Coturnix japonica: one gene and its partner. The protein of the gene in region 1 purifies or fractionates together with the protein of each later gene. This does not show direct contact. Links are inferred from orthologs where the notes say so. Each region holds a gene or a part of one and is shown on either strand. Other genes may lie near its edges.

Region 1 (4,468 bases):
TTGTGATGGGTACACAGCAAGCAGGCAGCACAGGAACCAATCCTGCTGTGATGGAGCAATCCCAACACGGAGATGAGCAGCACTGTGCCCTTTCCCAGCTCTTCCCACTGCAAAGGGAACCCCATTTCAACATCAGTACAATCCATCTCAACACAGTGTATCCCAGCAGGTCCATGGATGCTCACACAGTGGTTCCCCACCCCCTTCAGTGCAGGAACTGCTCACACTGAGCTCTGCCACCCCCGCTCCATCTGTGACACCATAGGGTTCAGACAATGAGGCTGCAAGTCTAACATAGGAATTCATCTCTGAGTTCTGGTATAGTGCAAGCACTGCATCCAAACCTTAGTGGAGAATTGTAGAGCTTCCTACTGCATCATGACTTTAATAGAACCGTTAATCAAATAACTGTGGAGGCCCAGATCTAATGTCTTTTAATTAGGTAGCTTAAGGAAATTGTCTAATTCCTGAACTGCCACGCAACGTCCCAGTGCCCAGCACAGCAACAAAGGAAAGCAAGTGGAGGAGGCTGCACTGTGCATCAGGGTGAGGAACGGGCAGGTCCTGCAGTCCAGCTGCCTTCATAATAGCATTAATAGCAGGAGCTGAAAAAACAGCACCTTTGGGGTGTGAGCAGGATTACTCAGCACCACAGAAACTAGTGAAGGAACTGGAAGAGCTGACACAAACCCAGCGGTGCTTTCTGCTGCTTTATATCACAGGGGCACAAAGAGGGTTTGTCTGGGCTTATGAGGTGAATGCCAAAGGCCACAGTGCTGTCCTAGCGAGGAGCTGGTCTCTGCAAGGAAGGAAATGGGGTGACAGAGAGGAGACAGGACAGTGCTGGGGCAGTGGCAGATAAGAGCCCAGCGGTGTCTGCTGGACAGCTTTGGGTTTATTGGGAGCCCAACACTGCAACGTTTGGTAGAGAGCCGGAAAGAACACCAAAAGTTAAGGAAGTTCAGCAGTTCTGCAACAGAAACACAAATAATCAAAGAAAAAGTCCACTGGATGACTCAGAAGCGACAGTACAACCAAACCCACGAGCCTCTCTGGGAAGAGCTGCCTTCAACAGAGCACACAGCAGCCCTGAGTCACTGATTTCTTGGAAACACGGAGCTCAGTGAGCTCCTTCCCCTTGCACCAAGTGAGCTCGGAGGGAGGCACAGAGCTGGGCTCACAGCACTCAGAGCCTCGAGCACAGGCAGTGCTGGGAACACACCACTTCCATGGGCAGAACCCACTGGAGGAGAGGAAATCCCTTCCCAGCCCCCAGCAGGGAGCTCCATAGCACAAGATTCCAGTGCCGTGACCACGAGCTGGCAGCAGGCTGGGCTGCTCCAAACCCTTCTGATGCATCAACACAAGGGCTCGCCAAGGACTCATCGCTGGGAGTTCCCTGCTGGGTTACACAAACACCAGCTCCAGCTTCACAGCAGCACAGCCACGTCCCTGTGCAGCCCCATATCCTGATGCAGGGGGGGGAGGCGTGTTGCTGTAGGGGGTTATTTTGGTTTACAGTTGCTATGGGCAGAGCGACAGCACAGCAGGGCTTTCCTCACACACAGATATATACACACATATACACACACATCAGCGTGTGACTCACACGTGCTGACACTTTTACAGCCAGGTGTGGCTGCTGCTCACAATGCCCCACTCATCAACCCGGGATGAGATAGAGAGAAACATAGACGTCACCCATATGGGTAAATCCTACCGCCACGCCAACGTTACTATTGTCTGCAGCACGAAAGCACGTTGATAGATGGTATCGGGTACAAGAAAGAAGCACGCGTTGGTAAGCAAACAGGGTTATTTCGCATTGAAATAGACACCAGCACAGTTTGAGGCTCAATGAGAGCAGTGCAGGGACATAGAGCAGCATTGAGCTCTAAATACAGGCTGAGCCCAGCAGGGGCTGTGAACCCTTCACAGAATCACAGAATGACCCGGGTTGGAAGGGACCTCAAGGATCATGTAGTTCAAACCCCCCTGCCTAGCAGGGCCACCAAACATACACATTTATTAGATCAGGTTGCCCAGGAGACCCCATAGATCCCCACAGAGACCCCATAGAGACCCCATAGATCAGGTTGCCCATGGCCAAGTCCAACCTGGCCTTGAACACCTCCAAGGACGGGGCATCCACAACCTCCCTGTGCAGCCTGTTCCAGGGCCTCACCACTCTCCTAATGAAGAACTTCCCCCTAACATCCAACCTAAATCTTCCCTCTTTTAACTTCAAACCATTTCCCCGTGTCCTGCTATTGTCAGCCCTTTCCAAGAGTTTACTCCCCTCCTGGGAGTAAGTTCCCTTCAGGTATTGAAAGGCTGCAATGAGGTCACCCTGCAACCTTCTCTTCTCCAGGCTGAACAAACCCAGCTCCCTCAGCCTGTCCTCACAGTGGAGCTGCTCCAGCCCCCTGATCACCTTTGTGACCCTCCTCTTCAGTAAGGGCCTATAGGACAGAGCTCTGTGTGGATACAGGAGGGGATAACACTTAATGCCCCGAGGATTATTGCAGCCCTTCCTCGAAGCATTAACGAGCTCTAAGGGCTTTAATGCTGCTGTATAGGCCTCACACTGGGCCTACACAGCCCCACCACAAGCCGGGCAGCACTAAGGGCCGCTTTGCTGCTGGATAATAGACCCCCACACGCAGCCAAAGGGGGACAGACCCGAACCCAGGGCTGTGACCCGTTGTTTACTCCCCCTCCGGCCTCTCATAGTGTCCCACACCGCCCCATCCCGGCCCATCCCGGCCCATCACTCACCCATGGCCCCGGGGCCGGAGCGGCCGCTCGGCGCGGCCTCCTCTCAGCCACCTGACAGCGGAAGTGACGCACAACCCGGCCCCGCCCCCAAGTCATCGCCCCGCCTTCTGAAGGAACGGCGGCGCTCATTGGATAGCTGAAGCAGCGCCCGGATGTGATTGGCTGCGAGAGGGGTGTTGATAGAGTGATGGGAGGCGAGCACTAATTGGCTGAGTGGTGATGATTGATTGGCTGATGAGAGATAACTCTCTCCGTTGATTGGTGCATGCTGTGTGAGCGGGTTGGTCGGCGGGCGGGATGTTATCCGCGCTTTGATTGGAAGAGAAACACCTCAAGGCCCGCCCCCTCCCACCCGCGCATGCGCACTGCTCCACCGCCCCCATGCGTGGTGCTAGGCCTTAAGATGGACGCCATGATGGCAGTACCCCATGCACTGCCCACTGCCCACCCTCAGACCAGGCCCATGCAGGCAGCCAGGCCCCAGGAGCTATAGATACAGCCCTATAGAGCCTATAGGCAACGAGCACTGAGGCCAAAAGGGCTTTAAGAGCTGGAAATCCATAAGGAGAGGGATAAAGGAGCAGCTGCCAGCCCTATAGAGCCTGTAGGCAATGATCAGTGTGGCCAAAAGGGCTTTAAGAGCTGGAAATACATAAAGAGAGGGATGGAGGAGTAGCTGGCAGCCCTATAGAGCCTATAGGCAATGATCACTGCAGAGCCAAGCACTGAGGCCAAAAGGGCTTTGTTTGAGAGCTGGAAAAACATAAGGACAGGGATAAAGGAGTAGCTGCCATTACACAGGGATGGAGCTTCCAAGCTGGGCTGTTGATTGAGGAATGGGGCTCATTTGTGCTTGGCTCGAGGGAACTCCCTCCTGCCCTTGTCGCGGCCCCCGAAGTAGCGCACGCGGTGGATGGCCTGCAGCTGCCGCTCGATGGTGGCCCTGATGTCCACCCCATCCGGGATGTGCACGTAGCGCACGTTCCTGCCCGCCACGAACATCTCGTCCAGCTGCGACACCTCCCCTCGTCTGTCCGTGAACGTCACCTGGGCCAGGCGGATGTTCATGAAGGCGTCGACGTTGGACACTCGTCCCGTGGCCGTGCTCTCGTCGCGGAGATCCACGGTGGTGACGTGGCCGTGCAGACCTTGCAGCAGGATCACCAGGCTGTTCTCGGCGATGGTGCGCTCCTTGACTGAGTGGCTGACCTCCATGGTGGGGCTGCAGCATATGAATGGGGAGATGCACCACCAGCACCTCCACCTGCAGGACTCGTGTATATACACACCAGCATGGCAGCTCCATCGCCTGCCTCCTCCCCTTGCACGCCCAGTGCTCATCACATCCCCCCCTTTGCACACAGGGGTGCCCCCACCCCCTTTATGCACTCACACAACTCCCACCCCACACATTCAGACCCCCACCCAAAACCCACACTCACCCCCGCAGCTCCCTCACCCCACTTTTAGCCCCCATCCCACTCACCGCCCGGCAACATGAAGGGGCGGCCCCTGTTTCTCGCTGCCCCGCTTGATCCCTCCCCGTTCGTCCCCGCCCCACTCGTCGGCTCGGAGGCAGGATGGAAGAAACGCCTTTAATGGCTCACAACCCGTCCATCAGAGCCAGCAGGTCCTCTCCCTTCCCGCAGCTCTCCTCGCACTGTTCCGCCACCTGCAGGTCGCCCATGAT
Region 2 (4,741 bases), on another chromosome or scaffold:
TGTCTCCATGGTATTCTGGAACAATCTGATCAGAAGTCCCTGTCTCCTGGTCTGTATATCCTGGCTCCAGGACCGCCTCGAACCAGGGATGGAGCAGGATCTCCGGGGCTGTAAGTCTCTCGGAGGGCTCCCGCCGCAGGAGGCTGCGGATGAGGCATCGGGCTTTGGGGGAGACGTGGTCAGGAATACAGAACTGTCCGCGGCGGATTTTGGAAAACAGGGTGCTAGGGTCCGAGTCATGGAAGGGATAGCGGCCCACGAGCAGCGTGTACAGCATCACTCCCAAACTCCACACGTCGGCTGACTTCCCCGAGTACGTCCCCGTTGTGTTGAGGATCTCGGGGCTGACGTAGGCAGGACAGCCGTGTTTATCCGACAGCGCGTCGTCCTCGCCCTTGATGATGTGCGTGTCCTCCAGGCTCTCCAGCCTCAGCTGCGTCCTGTGGGGAGCAACAAGGAGAAGCCATGGGTTAGAGACATGTGGCAGCAAGACCAACTGCTCTGCACAGCGACCACCGCTCCCTTCCATGCATTAGCAAAGGAGAGGCGACAACTTCCTAATCTGCACCAGGGATGCTGATCCCAGCCCCAAGTGCAGCTACATGCACGCTCATTTGCTGGGCCGACAGCAAATGCTGGGCTCTCGAGGAACGCCAGCGAGGCTCCTGCTGCCATCCCAGCATTCATTTTCACAACACAAAGCCTGGCTGTTCTGCACTCTCGGCGCTCACCAGCTTGCTCAATCCCTATTTTCTCCCTTTTGCCTTTCCAGGTGGTGCCCTGCTCCCGGTAGTGGCAAACCGGGAGCTTCCCACCAGCAGCCACGGCTCACGTGCCACAGGGATGTGCTAACTGCAGCCTGTCCTCGGCGTGACCTCCCGCTGCAATGCAAAATACCCATCGGTTCTGTAAACGGAAAATGTGACTCAATGCGAACCGTGGGCCCAGGATTGGCCGCGGGAGCACTGAAACTGCACCTGTGCTGGTGAGCCCCAGCGCCCGCCTGCCATTGCTTAACCCTCTTCTTGCCAAACGCAATGCACATGACACTCGCCTGTGCAACGCCAATTTCCAAACGAGCCGGGCTGTGTGCAATGTAACATTTCAACAAATGTTTCATCTCACTAGGGGCGGGAAAAGCTGCAATAGTTTCCTTCAAAGGAATTACTTTCTTTGCATGTCAACATACGGCTGTTTCTGTTTAAGAGGTGCAGTTCTGGTTCGTCGTCTTATCACCTTCACAAACGATATCCCACAGAAGCAGTTAAAAAAGAAAACCAAACACAGCGGTTCCTTCCGTTTCGTCGCATTAAGCACGACCCCATTGCAGCCTGTGCCCATGTTTTGAGCTTCCTACAGCACAGCAGCCACTCAGGGTCAGTTCCCGGGGCTGACACCGCACTCCCAGCCCTGCCACGTGCAGCGCAGTGCACAGAGCAGCCAGCTCTCCAGGGAGACACTGAATGCTTCGCCTCGGTCTAGATTTAGAAGCTGATCCCAGCAGCGTGCCAGCAGATGGGGGAAGCTGGAACCACCTTGCCATAACTCAGGCTTTAGGTTAAGTTCTACCAGTTTTCCCCTCTGCAGGACATTTAACCATGGACCGCCCTCTGTGCCGTGCATGCCCATATCCATGGAGCAGCAGAAGCACTGCCACCAACGCGGAGATGCTGAGCAGCACCGTGCTGCCCTCATTCCCTCCACATCCCATCCCTTCATCCATTTGACCCCAAAACTCATCCATCATCACCAAGACCCAACTGACTCCCTGTGACTGCCTCACTGAACTTCTGCTGGAAGAGGGGAGGCTGATGGAGAGCTCCTCAGCCAAGACCCAACCACAGCCAGCAGGCGCCCCACTGCACACACGGGGCACAGGTCCACCCTGTTCCTGGGATGCTCTTTGCCCTTCTGAACCAGGCTTCCCCCCACCTGCCCGGTGACAGCCGCTCACCTCTCCTCGTTGGAGAAGACAAACTTCCTGAGCTTGAGGTCTCCGAGCACGATGGCCGACTGGTGGCAGTGAGCGACGGCCGCCACGATCTGTCGGAAGAGCCGGGCGGCCTCCTCCTCCCTCAGCCTCTTACAGCTCCGCACGTAGGAGTGCATGTCCCCAAAGTCCTTCTCAAAGAACACGTAGGCCTTGGTGTCCCCGAGGATCACCTCCACCACGCCGGTGATGTTGCAGTGCGAGGGCAGCTGGACGTAGGGCCGGATCTTGTCCTGGTAGTGTTTGAGAGGGAACACCTGCACAAAGGAAACGAGCACAACGTTCGTTCTCGAGGGCGTTGGGAGCGGAATCGCGTCTAGAGACTCTTTGCAAACAATGCCGGGAATGGAGGAGCGCCAGCGCGCTCGGGAGCGGCACCGGGAGCCTCCCCGCGGCTCCGCCGTTCGTTCCGCACGGACGACGGGGAGCACAAGCCAAACCGACGGAAAGCACGAACCGCCCCGAAGCCTTTCGTCCCCTCTCAGCCCCCTCCGAGCCCGCACCGCCCGGCGCTCACCTTGCAGCGGAGCTCCCGGCCGGAGCTGACGCTGAGCGCTCGGGACACCTGCTCGCGCTCGGCCAGCGGCAGCAGCAGGTACGAGGCGATGAGGCTGGGCCCCGCCGTGCCCACATTCCCCGCCGCTCCTCCGCCGGCTGCGGGCGAGACGGGCGCGCAGGGCGAGCCGGGGGCGCTCAGGCAGTCCGGGGTTCCGCCGGGACACTCGGCCAGGCGCGGGCACTTGGCGGCCGGAGCCTCCTCGGCGGGGCCGTCGTGCAGCGGCTGGAGCCGCTTGGCCGGGGCGCTGCGGCAGCGGGCTGCCGGCAGGAGGAGCGCGGCGGCGCGGCGGGGCGGCGGCGGAGCGGGGCGGCTCATGGGGGGCGCGGAGCGGAGCGGGGAGAGGAAGAAGAGGAGGAAGAGGTGATGGTGGAGGGCGAGGTGAAGGAGAAGAAGAAGCGGGGCCGGGGGCTAAGGGCGGGCGGAGCGCGGCTGGCGCATCCCCTCGCTGTCCCCGCCGCAGCCCCGGGCCGTGTCCACCATCTGCTGCCGACTCCGCGCTAAAGTAGTTGGAGGCTTTAAAAAAAAAAAAAAGCAGTTTTCTCCTCCTCCTCCCGGCCCTGACGCACGGGGAAGTGGGAGGAGGGAGCTCGGCCCGGCCCCGCTCCGCTCCGCCCCGCTGTCCGCCCGCCCCGCCGTGCCCCCGAGCTGCACCGTGCGATGCTCCCGGCCGCGCCCGTCGCTCCGGGACGACCCCGACCCCGACCCCGGTTGCGGAGTTCCGGCGGCCCCGCGCTGCTCCCACGAGCGAAAGCGAAAAGCGGAGCCCGGCTCCGTCGCCACGAGGCTCCTCGGGGCGATCAGCCCCCGTGAAACCGCGTCCCCGGCAGCCGGCGAGGGGCAGCTGTAGGGCGGGGAGCCGGAAAGCAAGAGAGAAACGGGCAGCAAAGCGAACAAGGAGCGGGGAGCCGCAGTGTTAGCGCACGGCCGGCTCTTCAGTTCACATCGGTGCCCGTTCCCAGGCGCTCGGCGCTGAGGTTTCCCCGTGCCGCTCCCGCAGGCAGCGCCCGGCGCCGCCGTCAGCGCTCAACGTGTATTTTAAGAAACGCGTGAAACCGTGCTGCTGTGTGAGTCACGGCATAGCAGAGCCATTAATGCGTTTAAACACAAAATGCATCTGCCATAAAGGGATATCCCAGGGGCTGCATTTTCCTTTCTTTGCCTTTATATATATATATATATATTTTTTTTCCTTTACCAAACAATTCGAAGAACGCCTGCAGATTTTTTCGGAGCGATTCACTGCAGCTCGGAACGCGCTGTTGTATTTTGTTCCCCTTATAGGCAAAGCACGCACGGAGCCATCAGCACTTCTGCTCCGTGTTTCCTCTCCTGGAAGGCTGCGTCCCATCAGTGACGTCCCATCAGTGATGAGTCCCATCAGTGATGTGTCCCATCAGTGACGTCCCATTAGTGATCAGTCCCATCAGTGATCAGTCCCATCTGCAGAAACGCTCATTGAGTGTCATTGTACATCAGTGGGTGCCGTTTTTTCTGCATGGAGTTGCTCAGTGACACACCTCTGCTTCACACGCACTTCCATGTCCGATTCCATTCAGCCCCTCTGCTGCCATCTGTCCCATGGCAACAACACAGAACTGAATACTGGTGGGAAGGCTCAACCACTACTGCCCCATCACCAGCATCCACCTCTGACACTGTGGGCCGTTATAAAATAGGAGGCACGACCTTCAGAGCAGCCCTCCTAAAATACACAATATTATTAATCTGTAAATAATAAAACATTTTAATATTTAATATTCCCATATCATCCATTTTGATGACATGAATAAGGTGTGATTGTGAAGCGAGGGATGTTTCTGGTAAGAGGGATTAGGAAACTCTGGCAAAGAGACATGATCAGATCTTCAGGTTCCATATTTGACTGCAGCTCCCTCATTCCACGTATGCCTCCATCTTTGTAGCACGGGACAAGGGGCTTGGTGGTCATTTCTGACCTCAGTGGTTCCGTGATGTTCATTTAAAGCCATTCGCCCTTGTCCTGTCACTACCTAAGTGTTCCCTAAGGGGACTTTGGGCATTGCCGTTCCATTCCCGTGTTACTTAAGGAATTCTTCTCCCATGGCATTCCAGCATCTGTCTTAGGTTTGGCAGTGCCCGCACTGCGAGCTCAGCTGCTCGCCCTGTGATGCGCAGTTATCTGTCTCCACTGCTCCACTTCTCTGACCCTTTAT

What was found. The genes of interacting proteins can lie anywhere in the genome.
Region 2: the proteins of STK40 (region 1) and TRIB1 purify together in Homo sapiens (affinity purification with mass spectrometry; 3 studies listed by BioGRID and IntAct, counting the BioPlex papers as one, with this or other methods). This does not show direct contact. The link is inferred for Coturnix japonica from reciprocal best matches to the Homo sapiens genes STK40 and TRIB1.

What each region holds. Positions count from the first base shown.
Region 1 is NC_029538.1:3,592,149-3,596,616, reverse strand, and holds the start of STK40 (serine/threonine-protein kinase 40), read right to left. Parts: upstream 2,874-4,468; 5' UTR 2,779-2,873; intron 1-2,778. Other genes in the region: U7 snRNA-associated Sm-like protein LSm10, read right to left, coding at 3,622-3,993; protein OSCP1, read right to left, coding at 4,382-4,468. UniProt on the Homo sapiens protein: May be a negative regulator of NF-kappa-B and p53-mediated gene transcription.
Region 2 is NC_029517.1:125,153,630-125,158,370, reverse strand, and holds the start of TRIB1 (tribbles homolog 1), read right to left. Parts: upstream 3,176-4,741; 5' UTR 2,865-3,175; coding exon 2,508-2,864; intron 2,248-2,507; coding exon 1,955-2,247; intron 441-1,954; coding exon 1-440. UniProt on the Homo sapiens protein: Adapter protein involved in protein degradation by interacting with COP1 ubiquitin ligase. The COP1-binding motif is masked by autoinhibitory interactions with the protein kinase domain.